2 linked regions of the Caenorhabditis elegans genome follow. The protein of the gene in region 2 interacts with the protein of the main gene of each other region in a pairwise test. Each region holds a gene or a part of one and is shown on either strand. Other genes may lie near its edges.

What was found.
Region 1: the proteins of B0303.7 (region 2) and dyn-1 interact in a two-hybrid assay, tested with the Caenorhabditis elegans proteins (2 studies listed by BioGRID).

What each region holds. Positions count from the first base shown.
Region 1 is NC_003284.9:15,565,245-15,575,560, forward strand, and holds dyn-1 (Dynamin), read left to right. Parts: upstream 1-3,676; coding exon 3,677-3,843; intron 3,844-3,908; coding exon 3,909-4,132; intron 4,133-4,313; coding exon 4,314-4,920; intron 4,921-4,965; coding exon 4,966-5,469; intron 5,470-5,516; coding exon 5,517-5,792; intron 5,793-6,326; coding exon 6,327-6,606; intron 6,607-6,710; coding exon 6,711-7,096; intron 7,097-7,269; coding exon of another isoform or gene 7,270-7,318; exon of another isoform or gene 7,319-7,351; intron 7,352-7,632; coding exon 7,633-7,705; downstream 7,706-10,316.
Region 2 is NC_003281.10:8,687,795-8,699,621, reverse strand, and holds B0303.7 (SH3 domain-containing protein), read right to left. Parts: upstream 6,001-11,827; 5' UTR 5,968-6,000; coding exon 5,880-5,967; intron 2,678-5,879; exon of another isoform or gene 2,572-2,677; coding exon of another isoform or gene 2,562-2,571; intron 2,264-2,561; coding exon 1,907-2,263; intron 1,640-1,906; coding exon 1,394-1,639; intron 1,272-1,393; coding exon 1,090-1,271; intron 1,037-1,089; coding exon 428-1,036; 3' UTR 101-427; downstream 1-100. Other genes in the region: sdz-1 (Skn-1 dependent zygotic transcript 1 protein), read left to right, coding at 1-56; B0303.4 (transmembrane and ubiquitin-like domain-containing family 1 protein), read right to left, coding at 6,678-6,880, 6,932-7,420, 7,884-8,414, 8,681-8,735, 8,784-8,880, 8,942-9,070, 9,118-9,287, 9,374-9,508 and 1 more; hadb-1 (putative 3-ketoacyl-CoA thiolase), read left to right, coding at 11,459-11,630, 11,680-11,827.

The sequences.
Region 1 (10,316 bases), on a different chromosome or scaffold from region 2:
AATTTGCCGAATTTGCCGGGCTCGGCAAACTCGGCAAGTCACTTTTTTTGAAATTTGCCGTGCTCGGCAAAATTGGCAAATTTGCCGAGCTTGGCAAACGGCAAATTCAGCAAATTTGCCGCACATCCCTGGTGTTTTTCGAATAAAGAACATTTATAAATTGATTACTTTTATTGTGAACATTCAACTTTTGAAATACTCGATTTTTTTTTAATTTTCCAACACCTGTTCTAATTCCGCAGCATTTATCCCAATGCCACAGGACAGCTGCTTCCAAATGTCCTTCCATCTTGTCAATATAAAACATGGACAAATGTTCAAAAATTAAAGCTTTATATTTTCCAAATTTTGCTTCTTTTTTTTCGCTAAGCATTTTTTGTTTTTGCGTGAAGGCAAGGAGATATTTGAAATAAATCAAATTTTGCCAATTAGACGACTACGGCGTCCCTCTGGATACAAGCCTCAGAACTTCCATGGAGTTTTCGTTTCCAGCGATTGCTTTTGACGTTTTTTTAGGATTCAAAATTTATTCTTATTCAAGAATAGCATCATTTGAAATTGAGTATATAAATCCAATTCAAACCAGTTTTGTTGAATTTCAAACTCTAAGTTGAGTCTTAAATGTATAAACATGAACTGCTCCTGGTATCCTTAACCAGAATGGATAGCGCGTTTAAAGGTGGAGTAGCGCCAGTGGGGATTTTGTCTAAATACACTTATACTGATCCAAAACAACCGAATATCATAATAAAACACTCCAAAAAATTTTAGATTTTTCAAAATATCCGGTCAAAGTTTAGGAAAATTGCCAAAATTTTGTAATTGTCACATTTTGACAGTAAATAAAAAATTTTCAAAATATTTTTGAAAAGTTTTATTGTGATATTCGGTTAGTTTGGCACCATAGAAGTAGTTTTTAACACTTTCCCCCGTGGCGCTACTCCACTTTTAAGTATAGATGACAGTTTGTTTTACAAGGATGTGAGAATACAAAAATTATTGTTAAGCACATTTCATGGCTCTATGAATGTGAATGTGGTTTTTATAACGCTTAATTTATAAAAATGTTGTCTTGCAGAGGTCTCTTCAAAATTTTTGATACTAACACACTTGTGAGCAGTGTTCTAGAACTCAATGGCACAGTTTTCAATAGATATTTGAAAATTTCCTATTGCATATTGTGTAAATTTAGCTTTGAAAATAATTGTATGTCGAAAAATATTTGTTTTTTCCAGTTTTTTTTCAGTCCAGCTATCCGTCCGTCACTATGCAATTTCAAATACTTTGTTAACAAAATATATATCTAGACACTGGTTAGATTTGGAACGAAAACAAAAACTTTCTTCTCTTCCTTTTCCTTTTGTCGTTTATTCTGTGAGTTTGGCTTAGCAAGCCTCCCGGACCACGACGTCGTCATCGGCGCCGTCAGTGCTCCGCGTTTTTTTTTGTGGAGCCAAGAGAAAGAGGGCAGAAAGAGCTTCAAACTGCGGTCGGGAGCTCTAACACACACGTCTTGCTTTTCTTCTTCTGCTTTTGCTCTCCCTGTGTGCGAGAATATGTACATACGCGAAAAATGTGCGCGCGGGGGGGGGGGGCCCCTGCCGAGTAGCAGTGCGCAGCACACATACATAGCAGAATATCGACTAATCGAAAACGCCTCCTTCCTTTTTCTTTTTTCCTTCTTTCTGCTTCGTTTTTCTTTCTTTTTCTTATTCTTATTCTTCGTTTTCCGTTTTTGTTTTCTTTTTCTTCCTTGATATTCTCCTCAGCCTGCTTTGCTCGCTATGGAGTGAAGGGACAACAAAAAACTCAGCTGTTATTTATTCCATGTTCTGTTTTGCTTTACAATTAAAAAAATCAATTGAGCTATTTTGCTAGATTTTCAATACTTTTAAACCATGTTTTATAAATGTTTTATAAATTTCAGAGCATATGAAATCATTGTACATCAACTGATTAGTCACAAATTCATTATCAGGAGTAGTATGGGAATGTTAAATTCGTTATTTGTTTACACACCGCTGGTTCTTAGTAAAATTTTCTAATAGGAAGTAACTGGAATTTGTTTGGAAACCTACAAATCTGTTAATTTCGGAATTAATATCCAAGTTTCCAAATTAGCAGAAATAAAATTTTGAAGTAATATCTGGTTGAAATGTTGTGTTTCTGCTATAAAACTTGAAAAGAAACCTTGAATCCTGCTAGAGAATCGCCTTTGGTCAGAAAATCGAACATCAGTTTTTACTGCAAGTGACAATTTTCAGGGAGTATTTGAAGCCGTTATTTTTAATCCCAACTTTTTAAATGAAAATGAGTATATTTTTCATATTTATGATATGCATATATATATGTTCAATCTATCTGTGTTAGAGCTTGATGATTATTTCGAATCGGGCGGGTTTAAAGATCTGCCAAAAAAATTTGCAGTACTACCCTGTCTTGAAAAAAAAAGAAGAAAAACTGTGATACAATTTAACAATCATGAACATACGACAATTCTCTACAAATTATAATATCATAATGAATTCCATATTTTGTTTAAACAAATTGGACTAAATGAATTTCCTCGTCTCTAATAAACAAATAGAACGTGGAAAAACCTTCTTACTAATCATGATTTCTGGTCACAATTGTGACTCGATATTTGCTAAGATGACGATTTTTCTTTTCTTCCTACGGTACTGATCGGACTGTTGTAAAAGTTTCACAATTTTGAAATATTTTATTTTATTTTTATTTTGCATAATTTCCAAAGGTCATCCATCTCATTTCCATTCTCAATAAAAAAAATTTTTAAAGTCTGCCTCTTTTTATTAAAGAAACGATGTTATTTGCTCACTAACTTCCATTCACACGTTTCCAGCGAGATAGCAGGTAAGTTGAGAGACGCAGGTGGTTAGACTACAAACAGAAGGGTGGCCGGCTGCCACCCTCTCCACACCACTATTTCACAACATTTACAATGAATTGATCTACCCGCCAAATTCTGGTTTTCGGCAATCCAAAACTGTTCGCTTTGTTTTCCACTTTTTCATTTTTCATTTCTCCTCCACTACTTATTTGGATTTTCTTTTTCAAATGTGTCCCGTTTAGTTTTTTTTTGCATCTAACAACCTTCTGTTTTTTTCCAATATTTTCATTAAACAAGCCTCCAAATTCTTCATAAAATTCCTCGTGAAAAGAAATTTCTTGTCGTGGTTACTGCTGACGCGTTTTGCGATGAGTGTGTGTTGGCACGCTCTCCGCCGTCGCTGGCCAAGCCTTTTTCTCTCCCCGCCGCAGTACTGACTGCGAGGCTGACTCACTGCGGTCATTTCGTTTGCCTCACCCTCACTTTTAGTCTCTGCATCTCCGAGTCTCTCCGCGCTTTTTTGTACGCCGATCGTTTCTTCTTCTTGTTTTCCAAACATTCAACACCGTTTTGCCGACAATGATTCTGAATATTTGTTGATTTTGTTTTTTCAAATGCGATTTGAGGATTTTTTTTTCTAATTTTATATTCTATATTCTTGAAGGTGATAAATTTCATTCTAAAACATAATTATTAAACCTCCGAAAACCTCATTGCGAAATCGTGCTTTTTCCATTAAATCTTCTCAATGCTCTTCCTCATATCATTAATCGACTAAAAAAATCGATTTTCAGGTAGTTCAGCGTATAACCACCAGGATCAGCCATGTCGTGGCAAAACCAGGGAATGCAGGCGTTGATCCCTGTGATCAATCGTGTCCAGGACGCCTTCTCCCAGCTGGGCACATCTGTCAGCTTCGAACTTCCACAGATCGCCGTCGTCGGAGGACAGTCCGCTGGAAAGTCGTCGGTGCTGGAGAATTTTGTCGGAAAGTGAGTCACAAGAAGAAAAAAAACATAACTTTGCGAAATAAAATCACAATTTTTTTCCTTTCCAGAGACTTCTTGCCACGTGGATCAGGAATCGTAACACGTCGTCCACTTATTTTGCAGCTTATTCAAGATCGCAATGAGTACGCCGAGTTCCTACACAAGAAGGGTCATCGCTTTGTGGATTTTGATGCAGTTCGGAAAGAGATTGAGGATGAGACTGATCGTGTCACTGGACAGAATAAGGGAATCAGTCCACATCCAATCAACTTGCGTGTCTTTTCTCCAAATGGTAAGCATTTAGAAACTCACAGAAACGCAAGTGCGCTGGATGATTTGAGCATCTGAAACCAGACTTATGCAACTTTTTTTAAAATTTAAATTGCATTAAAGATTTCATAAATTTACAGTGAGTTGCACAAAATCACTGGAAAAATTCACACATTTTAATTAATTCATACTTAATTTTTCAGTTCTAAATCTGACACTCATCGATTTGCCCGGTCTCACAAAAGTGCCCGTCGGAGATCAACCAGCAGATATTGAGCAACAGATCCGTGACATGATTCTCACATTCATCAACCGTGAGACTTGCCTCATTCTTGCCGTCACTCCGGCCAACAGCGATCTCGCCACTTCGGATGCGTTGAAACTTGCGAAGGAAGTCGATCCACAGGGTCTTCGCACGATTGGAGTCCTCACCAAACTTGACTTGATGGACGAGGGAACCGATGCTCGCGAGATCCTCGAGAACAAGCTGTTCACACTTCGTCGTGGCTACGTCGGAGTTGTCAATCGTGGGCAGAAGGATATTGTCGGTCGCAAGGATATTAGAGCTGCTTTGGACGCCGAGAGAAAGTTCTTCATCTCACACCCATCCTACCGACATATGGCTGATCGGTTGGGAACAAGCTACCTTCAACACACTCTTAATCAACAGCTCACCAATCATATCCGTGATACACTGCCAACACTTCGTGATAGTCTTCAAAAGAAGATGTTTGCTATGGAAAAGGATGTGGCCGAGTACAAGAACTACCAGCCAAATGATCCAGGCCGCAAGACCAAGGCTCTTTTGCAGTAAGTGATTTCAATGGAGGTGCTTTATTAACAAAATTTTTGCAGAATGGTTACCCAGTTCAATGCTGACATTGAGCGCTCCATTGAAGGTTCCTCTGCAAAGCTGGTTTCAACCAATGAGCTCAGTGGAGGAGCCCGTATCAATCGGCTTTTCCATGAGCGTTTCCCATTTGAGATTGTTAAAATGGAAATTGACGAGAAAGAAATGCGCAAAGAAATCCAGTATGCCATCAGAAACATTCACGGTATCCGCGTCGGTCTCTTCACTCCGGATATGGCGTTTGAGGCAATTGCCAAAAAGCAAATCACCCGTCTGAAGGAGCCATCGTTGAAATGCGTTGATCTGGTGGTCAACGAGTTGGCTAATGTGATCAGACAGTGCGCTGACACTATGGCTAGATATCCACGTCTTCGTGACGAGCTGGAAAGAATCGTCGTCTCGCATATGCGTGAACGTGAGCAAATTGCCAAGCAGCAAATTGGGCTCATTGTTGACTACGAACTCGCTTATATGAACACAAACCATGAGGATTTCATTGGATTCAGCAAGTAGGAGTTTAGACTTTGCTTTTAGATGTTTAATTTTATTTTTTTAGTGCTGAAGCAAAAGCCTCCCAAGGACAATCAGCGAAGAAGAATCTTGGAAACCAGGTGATCAGAAAGGGCTGGCTCTCACTGAGCAACGTATCGTTTGTGCGTGGCTCCAAGGACAATTGGTTTGTGCTCATGTCGGACAGTTTGAGTTGGTACAAAGATGATGAGGAGAAGGAGAAGAAGTACATGCTCCCATTGGATGGTGTCAAGCTGAAGGATATTGAGGGTGGATTTATGTCTCGTAACCACAAGTTTGCTCTGTTCTACCCCGACGGAAAGTGAGTTACTCAAGAATTTTGCGATTTGATTGCCATTTCAACATTCCAAGAGCCCGCACGCTTTTCTTTCCACATTAGAGTTTCATTAGGCAGAAACACAGGAACACTAAATTGAGCATGAGTTTTGAAACGAGACAAAAAACGCACACACACACAAAATCAATTTTTTTTGAATATTTGTTTAAATTAAATTAATTTGCAGGAGGTGAGTGTATAGTTTACTTTCTTCACTTCTTCTTCTTCTTTAATGACTTGTAAGACAGAAAAACCTTTGTGTTGTCGTCCTTGTGATCTGTTTTCATTTTTTTTACCCGAAAAGTTTATCCACCTTGAAACCAACACCTTTCACTTCTGTAGTCAATTTCTTATTTTTCCTGTTTCTCTTTCTCTGCTGTGACAGTTTCAGTTCAGACAAAAAAAAATACAGCATGCAAAATGCTTTTTAGATAAAAGATTCTGAACCAGCATGAAGATGTAAACTCATGTATCCTTGACCTCACGCACTTGCTTCTCCCATAACCCTTTGAATTCCAGGAACATCTACAAGGATTACAAGCAGCTTGAGTTGGGATGCACCAATTTGGACGAAATTGATGCGTGGAAGGCTTCATTCTTGCGTGCTGGTGTCTATCCAGAAAAGCAGAAGGCACAGGAAGATGAGTCCCAACAAGAGATGGAGGATACCTCGATTGATCCACAACTTGAGAGACAGGTGGAGACAATCCGTAATTTGGTTGATTCCTACATGAGAATCATTACCAAGACAATTAAGGACCTGGTTCCAAAGGCGGTGATGCATTTGATTGTTAACCAGGTGAGGGATTTTAAAAGAATTGAATGATTCATCGTGATATCATCACGGCCTGTTTTTTTAACCGTACACAATAAACCTTAAACTAAATATCTCAATAATTTCAGACAGGTGAGTTCATGAAAGATGAACTTTTGGCCCATCTCTACCAATGCGGCGACACTGATGCTCTCATGGAGGAATCTCAAATAGAAGCCCAGAAGCGCGAGGAGATGCTCCGAATGTACCATGCTTGCAAGGAGGCGCTCCGCATTATCTCTGAAGTCAACATGAGCACCCTTGGCGACCAGCCGCCGCCATTGCCGATGTCTGACTACCGCCCACACCCATCTGGACCTTCACCGGTGCCGCGTCCGGCTCCTGCTCCACCAGGCGGACGTCAGGCCCCAATGCCACCACGCGGAGGACCCGGTGCCCCACCACCACCAGGCATGAGACCACCACCAGGTGCGCCAGGAGGCGGCGGTGGCATGTACCCACCGTTGATTCCAACGTAAGTTTATGCCTATTTTTTTTCGAAAAGAGCACCAGATCTCTTCTAATCTTTCCTATTTTGGTCCGTCATACTCTTTCTTCTGTCAAAATTTTTTTTCTGAAATTTAGAAAAAAAAATACTGTCAACAAGTCAGAATAAAACCTAAAACTAACGTGTACCAACCACTCTAGGCGTCCGGGACCAGGCGGCCCACCACCCAACATGGCACCGCCTAGATAATAATGTTGTGAATAATTCCCCCACTGACCAAAGGTTTGTTAATCGCGAAGAAGCAGTACAGAGAAGTGTATAATTGTTTGTTGTAATCGTGATGTGTATTAGCAGCATCTATCTAGTGTTGTGATCCCTTGGCACTTTATCGGAACATTTTTATATTCCACTATCTTCCTGTGATTTTTTCTACAGAAAGAAGCAAAAGCTAACTTTTCTTTCTCATCAAATTTTTCATAATTTCGTCATTATTTGCATGTTTCAATGGTGGTCTAGCTTTCTGTTGTTGTAGTATTAATCTGAAACGTTGTTTTTTTTTTCAGAAGAGTACCGACACCATCCAACGGAGCACCAGAGATTCCAGCTCGCCCGCAAGTCCCCAAGAGACCTTTCTAAATGCTTTTACATCTCCATCCTAGCTCACTTGTCATACTATTACCGTTCCCATAGTAATTGTACAATGCCCCCGTTTTATCAAGCATTTCTTTTTTTTTTTTGAGAATTTTTAAATTAATCAATATCCCGAGTTCTTCCACCTTTTGAGCAAGTCTCGTTGAGGATTGCATTGGTCCCAGCGCTAACTAGGCGTCAATTCATCCACCTCTCCATTCTCTCTCCCGTTCCAACTGTGTTTTTCTTTGTCAGCGGCGAATTTTCCACAACCAATCGAGTCCTATTTCTCTTTTTTTCCCCCACCTCCCAATAATTTTATTTGCATGTTTTATAAACTCACTTTGTTCAATAATTTATTGATTTTATTTTTTCTATGATTTGAAACTTTACATTTTTCCTACTCTTCTATAGCAATACTTTGTCACTTACAATAACCCCCCCCCCCCAGTCTGCCTATATTTATTTAGATGTTCTTTATGGCCACCCAATGTATAAACTCTTTTAGTGCATTTGTAGGTTCTTTCTTCATCCCACCCAATTCCCCCTCCACCACAAATCCCAGTTTTGATTATTTTAAGCCCATATTTATAAGAAGTAAATATATTTATAGATTTTTCTTAGATTATAAGCTCTTCTAGGTTTTCCCTCGTTGAGAAGAATGATCTGAAAAAGCCTAAATTATAGATTTTTGAAACGTATTGTGTAGAATTTGTATTTATTCGTGAAAGTGGAATAAAGTTAAAACGGAAAAATGTAGTATTAGTTTTGTGCAAAACATTGGCCCTATAAATGTAGATGTAGGAAAGTCTGTTTATTCTTGGAAAAATCCCTAATTTTTGTGAAATTGTTTGGTTTGCAGCGGTCGGAAGCAATCTTGAAAATAATTATCATTTGTAATCACATTTTGGTAATTTATTACGTTTATTTTCTTCATTGATTGGTAGGTATATGTTTTCTTTCGAAAGATGAACAAATGATAGTGAATTGGTGCACCTATAAACGGAAAATATACCTTAAACAATTAATGGTTAAAAAATCCACAATGAAGAAAAGATATTAGAAAATTCCGGTTGCTAAGACATTGAAAAAAACTTGAAAAAAGACTTTGAAAACTTGACAAAATTTGGCACTTTTGAAAAGAACCCATTTAAAACTTAAAGCATGTACTAAAACGAGAACTTTATTTGAAAATTATTATATGTGTATTGCTGCGCTTGTACATTTAAAAAAAGGAACCTTTTCAATTGATACTTAAAACAAATAGAAGTTTTTTAATCCATATCCTCAAGCTTCGCAGATAAACCCTCAATATGCCAAACTCTAATAAGTAGCAATGTAACATGTTTTTGGCGCTGGTGAGTAGGTACTAAAAATTTAATAAATGTTTCCGATTTAAAATTTTAGATCTCGTCAGAATCGTTGTCAACGCAGAACTACAATTCTGGCATACTTTTGTTATAACGATATCAAATACCAAAGAACTCGTCGAAATTGCATACTTGTTGATGGAACCATCCGTTCAACTGAACGCCAGCCAGTTTATTACTTAAATGAAAACTAATTTTTCAATTGATGACGGTTAGTGACTTTAGGTTTCATTTGATCAGCGTAGTTGCTGACACTTAATGGTTCGGGAACATAAAAGAACATGTCGAACACGTACATGACGACTGCTTAAAAGTTGAAAATTTCCCATATCCGTTTCTCATTTTATGTAGTCTCTTTCAGTGTGGCTACTAACGATTTTGCAATTTTACATTATACTTTGTTTGTGAGTTTCAGGAAACTTGTGAATTCGTTCAAACCCTTCAGAATCAGAATAAAAAATGGTGCTTTGTATTTCTTAAATTTTAATAACTTTTTCACGAGCACTACATTTTAAAATTTTGTAGAAGTTGTCTGTTTGCACCCATTTAATTTCAAATGTGTCATAAGTCAACAACTGGCACGTTGAGTATACATAGAAAAGAATGATTTTACCTTTTAATATTTTTTTTGTTATAAAAGCTTGCAACATTTTTATTACCTCTATGGATAAAAAACGAAGGCTAGGAGAAAGAATCTAAAAACTCGGATTAGTTTTTGGATACAAAACAGAAGATTAGAATATTTCCCTTCACGAATTTTGAGGGTAAAACAATTTTACCGAAGTTTTCAAAGGTTTTTGTTCAAGATTCCATTCATTTTTTTTGAAATACTTCATACACGTGGTGTCAGGTTGTTACGGTTTGACTTACAAATTTTGCCCAAAAAATGAGACGTCAGCACGTTTTTAGCCATTTAAATCAGTTAAGAACTCTGTGTCTCAACTCCCGCATTTTTTGTAGATATTTGTAGATCAAACCGAAATGAGACACTCTGACACCACGAGTTCATATTGTGAAACTCTCTTGAATACTTATCACTGTGCCAACCCATGTCACACTTTTAAATACATTGAACAGTATAAAAAACTCAGGTCAAAAGTAACATTTGATTGATCCCCCCCATTTCCTTCTGAACTTTGCTTCTCCTGTTTTTGCGTCGTTTCGCCATCATCATTAAAGTGACTCTTGGACTTGAGACTCTAGTTGCTTATCGATTGGTGATTGAAAAAGTAGGAGAAACGAATCTT
Region 2 (11,827 bases):
ATTTGGATGCACCAAGCCGATTTTTCTCGTCTACTAAAATTGAATGTGTCGTATAAATATTTGAATAATCGAACCTACATAATATTACGTTCATCATATTGTAACAAATTCTTCAAATTCATTATTCTCCTCAATAAATTTACTTTAACATTTTTCTGAAGTTTTGGAAGTTCACAAAATAACTATTATAGTAACGCAGAGAAATGAGCTATTTGAAATTGATCTACAAACGTTAATTGGAAACGCTAGGCCCACACTTGATAAGGCAATTTATTGAAAATACATTTCTAGAAAATTTGACAATCGGCACAAAACACGCATCGGGGAAAATTTGAATTTTGTAAATAAATGACATATTAGAAAATACAAAAAACTGGCACATATAAAGCTAGAAAGTGAATTTAGTGAGAAATAATCAAGACCAGAATCAATTTTCCAATTTGACAATATTCTTTGGCAGAATACCCGCTGGCAAAGTCTTGAAAGCTTCCAATTTTCCCTTGTAATAGTAGTCATCAACATCTTCCACAATCAATAAATGATCGCCACGTGTCACATAAAGATGTTTGGGATCTTCGGAATGATAGTCACCAGTGGCAACTGCCTTCTTCGGAGAGAATGCACATGCAATTTCAGCGATTCCTTTTGACGGTGCCTTCTTTGGAGATCCGTATGGTGGTCCCAAGAAGGTCTTCGGAACCATTCCCTGTTGTCCACGACATTCTGCGAGCAACCATTGAGCATCAATGTCTTCCAGGGCTGTGATGACGTCACCTTCGAATAATCGGAGGTCAGAAGCAACTCCAGAATCGTAATCATAAGATACAGTAACGGTTTGTTTGGGACCACTATTGTTTGTAATTGGATGAGAATAAGATGGAGCAGATGATGGAGCTGATTGTTTCATTGGAACTTGATAAAGATTTGGACAATCCACAAATTGAGATGGAAAGATTCCTGATCTACCAAAGCATTCACCTTCTAGCCATTCTTCATTTACACGAGCTGTTACCATAATTTGTGATCCGACAGCGAACTGAAAGAACATTCAGATTTACAAATATTTTTAGATGTCTTTTAAAAACTCACATTCAAATCTCCAGCTTCGTTCGAATTATAGTCATAGATTGCAGTTGCATATGTGCCTGAAGATGATCCAGATGGAGCTGCTGGTCGTGGAGGCAGAGCTGTGAAAGCTTCTTTCAATGGGATCTTGATGTCAAGGTAGGATGATGGAACAATTCCAAATGTGCGCTGGTTTTGATTCTCACCTGAAACAATGGAAGATTATGTATTGAGTAACTAAGTTTCAAACATTTAATGCGATTGTTTCTGCAAAAATCGAGAACATCTCCTCTTACTCCATATAAAAATTAATTTGAAATCAACTAACCATAAAACCACTCCGCATCCACTTTTTTAGAAATTAAAACCGTATCCCCAATTCTCAATCCCATCTCATCAGATTGTGTCGGAGCGTAATCAAACTTGGCAATTCCATAAGGAGTACTGATGGCTGGTGCCGAATAAGACGGGATTGATTGTGTATGACGTGGCACTGGAGGCGGGGCAACTGGTGCAGATGAAGAGTAAGAAGATGTTGAGTTGGATTGATACGATGGAGTTGCAGTAGAAGAATCTGAAATTTTAGAACTTTTTGAAGAAAAAAATAGTCGGTAGGCATGTCTCCAGATATTCCCTTGCCTGTTTACATTTGTACCTTCCGCCTACTTCCGGCAGTTAACTCGATATTAACTCGACATTTATCAGAATATCCAAGCTTTTTGGAAAATTTGGCAATTTACCAAAACGTTAGCTATAAATTTTGAAACATCTAAAACTTCGGAGTGTTTTATTTTGATAATCTTTTGTTTGATCTGTTTTTTTTTAATCTTTCAAAACTCACTGCTTGACATCACCGATCCTCCGATATGCATATTTTCCAATTGTGATCTAATTGCAGAATGTGATCCAGAAAGTTTTCCAGGCGATGTTCCTCCTCGATGTGGTGGTGGTGGTGGAACTGAATCAGACTTTCGATTAGCATCAGCAACTGCAAATGCAGCTGAGATCTTATTTCCACCACTTGGGTCCTTGACAGCATTCAACACTGCTCCACGTGCCTTCTCATCTTGTGCAACATTTTTAGCTGTTTGTCTGACGAATGGATTCTTGGCGGCTGCGATTGCGGCATTCCGAACCTCTGGTCTTTTGGCTGACTCGAATAATGCCTTGGCGGCTGAGACTGAGAAGGTACTGGTATCTGGAAATATGGTTTACTAAATAGATAGGATATGAAAATAAACAAAGCTTGGTTTATTTGAAATGGAGCCTTAACTAATGTTATCACTTGGTTCATAAAAAAAGTTGGCGTAATTGTTTTTCAAATCAAGTTTTATCTGGCCTATAGGCAGGCAGGTAGGCATTTCCTGCTTTCATGGGAGTCAGAATTTTAGCTAGAACTTATGTAGTTATATAATATCTAAATATCGTCTTCAAGAAATCCTTACTCTCAGGACATTTAGATAATACGAAACTGTAAATAAATTTTCAAATCTTACCTTTTGACATGAAAATTGAGCACCAGCCCGAACAAAAGAGCGTGAGAAACCCTAAAACTGCCAGAAAAAGAAATAAAAAGAATGAGAACTGGGGAAATCGATGGATGGAAGAAAAAGGAAAAAGACTAGGAATACGAGAGAGTGTATAAGTTATAGAAACGCAGACAGATAGGCAATGGAAACTCTTGTGTTTGCCGAGAGAATGAGAGAAAGTGACGAATGTATGTTGTGACTAGACACACCTCGGACACATATTTCGACAAATCATTGAAAAAAGACACGTCATTCGAGCATGAGTCATCATAGCTTTCCAGAGCATCCTGTTATTTCTTCTTTTATTGTTTTAAATAGATAAAATATACAGTGTGGGAAAGTTCTATAGGACCCCCCCTAATTTGAAGGTTTGAGGAACTTCCGAAAATTTTTTTGAAAAACTGCTAATGCCATTCGTTTTTAAATTGAAAAAAACCTATATACATTTTTTTCCAGAAGTTTATCTCAAAAACTGAGGTCGCGCTGGAAAAAACGTCAAAATCCAGTGTGAAACTTCTATAGGACCCCCCGTTTTTTTTCACGATTTTTACTAAAATCAACAGATTTTGGAATTTTTGACAAAGCTCAAATCAAGTTTGAGTTAGAAATGAGTTCAGATAAGCAGTTTTGACTTTAAAAAATTAATACGAAATGTTCTCGTGGGATCTCCAGACTGGTTCTGATTCTTCCGATCTTTGATGTTCAAGTCTGTTTCAAGCTTCCTGGTGCTCTCGGTAATGCCAAAACTTGATAAACTCTCTTTAACAAGTTCCTACTAAAATTCCTAGCACACACACCATAAACATTTTTACGCCATCCCCAAGAAACCAGTCAGAAACAGCGTATTAACAAGTTGCAGTTATTTTTGATCAACAACAGAACATTCATATACTAAAATCAAGAAAGGATCAATAGTTAATCGGGTTTCCTTGTGTGCGGATGATCTCAATCAGTCTGTCCTCCATTGATCTGACCAAACTTTTCAGCTGGTTGTCCGGAATAGACTTCCAAGCGTCGAGAATTCCTTGCTTCAACGATGCAACTGTTGGGTAAGTCTTGTTCTGAGCATACACGATACGGACAAGAATCCCCCACAAATTTTCGATTGGATTGAGATCAGGACTTCGAGCTGGCCAATCAAGAAGGTTGATCTTCTTGAGCTTGAAATAGTCGCGGGTTGAGTTGCTCACATGGATTGTCGCATTATCCTGCTGAAATCTAAAGTCTTTTCTGGAGTAGTGACGAAGATATTTGGAGAGCTCCAGTTCCAAGACGTTCTGATAGTCAGTGCTGTTCATCTTGCTACTGACGAACTGTATCTCAAGCTTCTTCTTCTCCGTGAACGCTCCCCAAACCATCACCGTTCCTCCTCCAAAATTACGTCTCGAAAAAACCATTGGTTCCTTGCGCAAATCGCGCCAATAGTAGCGGCAACCGTCAGGCCCATCGAGATTGAATTTCTTTTCATCGGAGAAGACAACCTAAAACAATGATCCTAATTATTCACTCTTGCTTTTTTAAATTCTCACTTTACTCCAATTCGTTCCCATATTGTTCTTAGCAAATTCCAATCGCTTGAGTTTATGGTCTGCAGAGAGTAACGGAGCAGGGCGAAGTTTCTGACGAACGATTACACCAGATCGTTTGATGACATTGAGGATGGTCCTTTTTGAAGCAGACAATTGAAGCTCATTGCGAATATCTCTTGCCGTCTTACAGGAGTTGGAGGCAGCACGAATCACATTTCGTTCGTCACGCACGGAGAGAGCTTTGCGACGAGGAGCTCTTTTAGATGTACCGTAGCTCACCGGATCCTTCAGATACTCGCGAATACAGTGTCGAGAACGGGAAATTTTCCTACTCATTTCATGCAGGGACACATTGAGCAATTTCATAACATCCAGCTGAGCGCGTTCAGTGTCCGAAAGGGCAGATCCTCGAGGCATTGCAAGTTAGACTGCTTTCGAAGTAAGCTTTCCAGCCTCTATATGTGTGCCACAACACATGCCACAATTCCACATTTAATAATTCACGCAAAAAATAGTAAATAACATCTGTGAGGGACAATTTAACTTGAAATATTGGTCCCATGGAACCTTGTAATCAAAGAAAAACGATTTGATTCCTGATAAGCCTTCCATTGTTTCCTGCTGCATATTTTGCCAAATCAGCTTGACTACACAGTCGAAACATCTAAAGTGCGTGCTAGGAATTTTAGTAGGAACTTGTTAAAGAGAGTTTATCAAGTTTTTGCATTACCGAGAGCACCAGGAAGCTTGAAACAGACTTGAACATCAAAGATCGGAAGAATCAGAACCAGTCTGGAGATCCCACGAGAACATTTCGTATTAATTTTTAAAGTCAAAACTGCTTATCTGAACTCATTTCTAACTCAAACTTGATTTGAGCTTTGTCAAAAATTCCAAAATCTGTTGATTTTAGTAAAAATCGTGAAAAAAAACGGGGGGTCCTATAGAAGTTTCACACTGGATTTTGACGTTTTTTCCAGCGCGACCTCAGTTTTTGAGATAAACTTCTGGAAAAAAATGTATATAGGTTTTTTTCAATTTAAAAACGAACGGCATTAGCAGTTTTTCGAAAAAATTTTCGGAAGTTCCTCAAACCTTCAAATTAGGGGGGGTCCTATAGAACTTTCCCACACTGTATATTGCAAGATTTCCTATAATTATCTACATACTGACAAGTGCGAGAACCTTTTCTTGGCTCCAAAACGAAAAATCTATGAACAATATGTGGAAATTTTGTGGTAATTGTGACAGCAAATGTTTTTTAATGAAATTTAAAAAAAATTTCAATATTTTCCAACTTATCAAATTATATTACCCATATGCCAAAAATAGATGCCTGGTCTCGACACGACAAATGCTTGCTGGATTCAAAAGAATATGCGCCTTTAAGGGGTACTGTAATTTCAGACTTTCGTTGCAGAAAATTACAGTACTCCTGAAAGGCACATATTCTTTATCACTATTAAAAAATTAGTCGTCTCAACTTTTCCGATAAAGCTGCCGTAGGAATTTACATTTTCGTGTCTGCCTCTAGCCTTACTGCCTACATACCTGCCTACCGCCTATTTTTGCGAATTTTGCCGTTCGCTCGCAGATCCTGCTTTCAGGTTAATTAAATTTATCTCAAAATTATAATTTCGAAAAGTGGTTTTTTTTTTCATTTAAAAATACATCGAAATTATTTTTAGAATTAATTATTTCTCTAAAAATCTCACAAACATCTGAAAATCAGCATAAAGTTTAAAAAAAAACTTACCAATATTCTCATTTATTCCATTTGAATTTCCAGATGTCCCACATATATTAGGCTTCCGTGGTGGCGTTGGAGGTGGTAGCCTTACCATTATTCTCAATGTTGGAGCAACTATCTATCTGGGTGGAAAAGTGAATCCAAAGGGGGTCTTGAAGGGTTTATTTGCCTCCAACTTTTCTCCATATTTACTCAACTCAATTGTGCTGCTGCCTTCTTCGAAGTTTACAATCAAACATCCTTTAGCACTGTATTTTTTGTAGTCCACAATTGTATAAAAGCTACCAATTTATTACTAGTGAAGTATCTAATGATGATGCAAAAGAAAGATGAAAAACAAGAACCGAGTCAAATATACACAGAACACACGGACGGGGTGGGGGGAATAAGAATTATTGAATAAAATTTCGCAGTATTCGATGTGTGTATGTTTGGATCTTCTCATCCTCTGTCTGATCCGTTTCAAGTGGAAAATTTTGAAAAAAAAACCAAGTGTTTTGATACCCATTTTGTGTGCAATTTTGTTGTGGCTAGAATCATAATGGTTTCGATTTGAAGTGTACAAGAATCTGAAAATTGAAAAATCTATTGCTGAATAAAAACAACTATTTATTTGTTAGCTTTTTAATCGAAACTCAATTTTAAAGCAAAAATTAATATTTCTGGTTTTTTTTCGAAAGCTTTTTTCAAAAGAAAATAAATTCATAACTTTTTCGTTTTCAATTAATTAAAAAGTTTTTTTGAAGTAAATTTAATTTATTTTTCCTAATAAATAAAAACTCACTGTGAAATATAAATTAAAATTTACAGAAGACGAATAGTCTCCTGGACGATTTGATTTTCCATCATTTCATTTTGAACCTCAACAGGATCCGGTTGGCGTCGTCGCTGACGTGAATAAACCACAAAAACGAAGTAAAGAAATACAATAATGAAGATCGAAAAGCCGACTCGATCAAATACATCTGGAAAGTAGTACAGAAATATGCTCACTGCGACCATTTGACCTGTAATAAATATTGCGTTTTGACGTGTTTTTTTTTGAAAATTAGAATCACCTCCAAAAATCCAAAATAATGTTGAAGTTTGCAAATGAGTTTCCTGATCATCATCATCTTGTTCCAACAATCCATTATCAACAAGTAAATTGCATACCCATTGGCTAATCGTCAGAAGTGTGGCTGGCCGAAGTAGATCTCGAATTCGATCAGGACGGAAAAATGCCAATCCAATTCCAGAAAGAATTGGAACCATTGTTGATAAAAGTAAATAGATCTGTCCAACATTTCTGTCCTGCGCAGCTCTTCTTCTTGCTGTTGTAACATTCTCATCAACTACTGGAACACTTTCCGACGGCATTGGAGTTGTGTCACGTGGAGCTCTGACGGATCTTCGAGGTCTTCGTCGAAAACCATTATTGACAATTGGAGGAAGAGTTGCTATTCCTGGTCGTGTATATGGTGTTGTACTAATATGACAATGAACTATACTTCCTGGTTGAAGACCATATTCTTCTAGCGTTCGATGATCTTCTCTGAGAAGTTGGCCTGAAAAATTCAGTTAAAAATTATTTAGGCTTGAAGAAAAGACTTTTAATTTTTTCAAATAGTTTTTTTTAATATTCATTTTTCCATTTGATTTTCAGGATTATGAGCCAGTGGTATTAAATTTTGGGAATTCTATAAAACTTTCAACTGTGGCACGTTTTCACAATTTTTCCAATCTATCAAATTATCAACAAAATAAATTGCGGTCGATAGGTACATTTTTGTGTCTTTCAACGAATACTTTAGATATAGGCCAATAAAATTGTGTTCTATATTTTCAGAAATTTTATGGAATTCGCAAAAAATAATCGTTAGATCTTTGTTTTCACTTATTTTTTATCATTTTTGAAATATTTTTTAAAAAGCTTTTTTGCCAAATGCCAAACATTTGTTTTCATTAATTTTTTTAAACTTTAAAATACATTACTAACTGTTTTTACTTTACATAAAAAATTAAAGATACCTTGATAAATGAGCCGTATGACCTGATTCGCAAGATTTGTGAAATGATCTACTTTGAACTTTGCTACAGTATCCTCCAGTGATGCATACGTGTTTTTCTCGGTATCATTCATAAACTTTAGCTTTATCAAAATCTTCCCTTCTGATGGTCCTTCGATTACTGGAAATTCGGATTCTTTAGTTTCTTGAAGAACTTGCTCCGGTTGAGCTTCTACTTCTTGATCATCCAGTGGCGGATCCTCATTTTGCTCAACTTCGACTTGCTCAATTTCTTCAATAGGACCTCCTCTATCAATTTCAATTTCAGTTTCTTCATCATCATCTTGACCTTCTTCTTCTTCATGATCTTCTATTATTGCATCATCTGAACTATCGTCATCGTCATCCTCTTCATCATCTTCTTCCTGTTGATCTATCACAATATCTTCTGTAAGCTCTGGTGTATCAGCGAACACTTGATTTGTTGGAGGCTGAGTTTGTGTTACATTTGACGTTCTTGTTGAAAGATGATGTTGCATATCCGGGTTTATTGCTGAAAATCCATACATTTTTAATTTTCAGGCGGGGATTTTACTTTTAATTATAAAAAAGGCCGGAATGACCGAATGTAACTGTTAAAAAATTAAGAAACTGATTCTAATTTTTTAAATGAATTAGTTTCATCTCTTCTCTAATTTTCAGGCTTTTCCTACAAAAAATTGAAAATAAATATTAAATTGTCGATTTTATGTCATATTTGAAGTTTTAGCTAAAATTGTTCGGGTAAAGTTTCGAAAAAAAGCAATATGAAAAACTTACATGGAGTCGTATACGTAACGTCTGTAGTAACGTAATCATGTCGTGAAGAATTTTCCTGAACCAAAATAAATTATTTTAAAATCAATTTTTTTTCTTCATTTACGCTGGGTCTCGACTCATCAACTCGAGTATTTCCAGATCGTTCTGTTGGTGGACGAAGTTGAGGCCTGTACGTTCGAGACATCAAAGATGCGTCGTCTCTGGAAAAATACAGAATTTTTGAATGTTTTAAACCTTAAATTAAACTTTTTAAAAACTAACCCTCTAGCTAAAATTGCTATCGCCGCTGCAGCAGCATACTGACTATCCCTTGTGGCGTCAGGCACGTGACCAGCACTCGGTGGCGGCATTTCAATGTCCCATAATGTTATTAGGTCAACGTCTGGTGATCTGGAATTGGAAATATTAAACATTTGAATACATTTTTAAAAGTAAACCTTGCAGGAGCTGGTGAATCAATAACCGTATTCGGCGACTGTATCACAATATTTGTATCAGAAATTGCCACTCTTTGCTCTCCTTGAATTCGTGGAGCTCTTGCCCTCATTCGTTGAACTAATCGTTCCCATGTGACGGGCGGTGTGAACTCTTGACCGAGATGAAGAACCTGTATTTTGAAGTTTAGAAATTTATTCGAAATTTTCCAATAGTGTTTTTCGTTTTTTTTTTCTTTTAATATTTAAATAAAATTACCTGCACCATCCTCCTAGTTGTCCAAGTGTGCATTTCTACAACAAATAAGTTATAATATAAAGGCCTTCGAGCAGAGATTTGATATGATAAAAGTGCACATGCTATGATGATTAATATTGCGACGACTGTGCTTAGCTGAAAATAGTTTTTTTTAGATTTGAAGTTAAACAATTTCAATTTGACACTTTTTCATAACAATGAAAAAATGGGAAAAGGGTTCAAAAAATCAATAAATGTTCAACTTACCTCTAAATATTCGAGTGCAGATTTAACAATTAATGCATTCATTTTTGTCTAGTTGTGTTGTCTGGAATAATGAAGAATAAAGTGAAGAATAATATGAAATCAGATGATGCTTGAGAGACTGAGAGAAATAAAGAGAAGCGTGTTGGTTAAAATGTTCCTTGGCGCAGAGAATCGATACGTGAAAGCGCACTAATCGACGGGCAATTGCACGCTTTTTTAGGAAAACAACCTTTTTGTTAAATTTTATAAAAAGAATTTAAAATTTGTTTTTTCAGAAATTATTTTTGTGAAAAAAAACTATTTAGCCTGTAAGAAAGTAGTATTTATAAAGAGGCGAAATGAGAGAGTAGATTAGAAAAAGAATTCGAAAGAAGATAAGAATCGAAAAAGGTGTTGAGTGAAGTGAAAAAAGAAAGGAAAAATGAATTAATTGTATTTGTTGTGATATTTGTGATTTTGCTATTAATTTATGTACCTCAAAATGAATTTGGCAAACTTTTAAACGAAAAGTATTCGAATTAGAGAAAAACTTTTGAGAAAAAGTGGGAAAAAACTAGAAAAATAACAATGGAACAGATCTTTTCGTTAAAAAAAATTTAATTTCCATTTCTCCCTTCCAGCTGGTTATTGCAAACGCTGCGAGACCCAACGTCAGACATACGCTTATGTGCCTTTAATACCGTAGTACACCCGATAAGCGCGAGAGTTTATTTTATTTATCAAAACTTTTTTTTCAACATTTTTCATCAGAATATCTTGATTTTATTTGATATTTCCTCGATTTTTTGTATAAATATACTAAAATAACAAAAGACTAACAAAATTTGCATTCCTCTACGCTTAAAATTTACTTAACCAACGAAATAATTTGAGATAAACGAGAAAATGTGTAAAATATTTAGGAGTTTAATATTATATTTATTTTGAACCACCGAGAAATGTTTGATACATTTTTGAGAAGTCTTAATACGAAATTCGTTTATTTTGGCACATATTGAGCCTATACAAGCGCTAAACCCAGAACCGTTCGTCCTCCTTCAAATAACTTTCTCTCAGCTCAAATTAAACTGCCCGTAATTTTTCCCATCCTGCCTTTTTCCAAACCCATACCACGTTTTCCTGTTCAATTTGCACCTCGTGTCTGTAAAATTAGTTATCTACCCGTAGCCTACATAGAGAATTTATCAAGGTACAAAGTCCAGACGGACGGACGGGCGGCGCATGGGAGGCCACAACAGCCAGGTTTTCTTGTTGTGTTCGTCTCGTCTCCTCCTCTCATCACTTATTATCTTGTGTGTTGGTGACCTACACTATATCTATCGATTGTGTATTTGTTTTCTAGTTTGATTATTTCTTTTTGGATTTTAACATTTTGAACTTTCTTTCTTCAGCTTTTAAGAATTTTTTTTTGTGAACTTTGTAGTATATATTTTTTTCTTTTCTGATCGGCCACGTTTCTTTTTTTTAAATGTTTCTCTAAATTCTTGGTTTTTCAATGTAGAAATTATTTAAATTCATTTCATTTTTTGATCCGTTGCTTTTGTTCTGCTGTCGTTTCAAATAGAGTAAGTCTGGTTTAATATTCTCAAAAATCAAGAAAGGGTGTAAAATTATTCTGCTGTGTTCTTTCAAAGGAGAGGGAAAATACTTTGTCCCCTTCTGTCCGTAGGCAATGATGAAATGATAAGAGTACACGTAGCGAACCAAATTTGATTCCATATTTGTTTTTTGTTCTCTTTCGTACGTTAAATTATTTTCTTGAACGCATTTTTTGTTCTTTGGAGATTTATTCTCAAAAATAAACCACCTCCAAAATTAAATCTGATTTCTTTTCAGAAGATGCTCCGCGCAGTTAGCACTTCGTTCGGGACTGCTCGTGCCGCTTCGGCAGTCGCCAAGAAAAATATGCCAAATATTGTACTTGTCGATGCAGTTCGTACTCCATTTGTCGTTTCTGGAACTGTTTTCAAGGATTTAATGGCTGTTGACTTACAGAAAGAAGCTATCAAGGGTTTGTATAGAAATTTGTAAATAAGGAAAATTAATTTTTCATTTTTCAGCACTAGTGGAGAAGACAAAGCTGCCATATGAACAACTCGATCACATTATTTGTGGAACAGTTATTCAAGAATGCAAGACCAGTAACATTGCTAGAGAAGCTGCTCTTCTCGCTGGTGTTCCAGATAAGATCCCAGCTCACACTGTCAC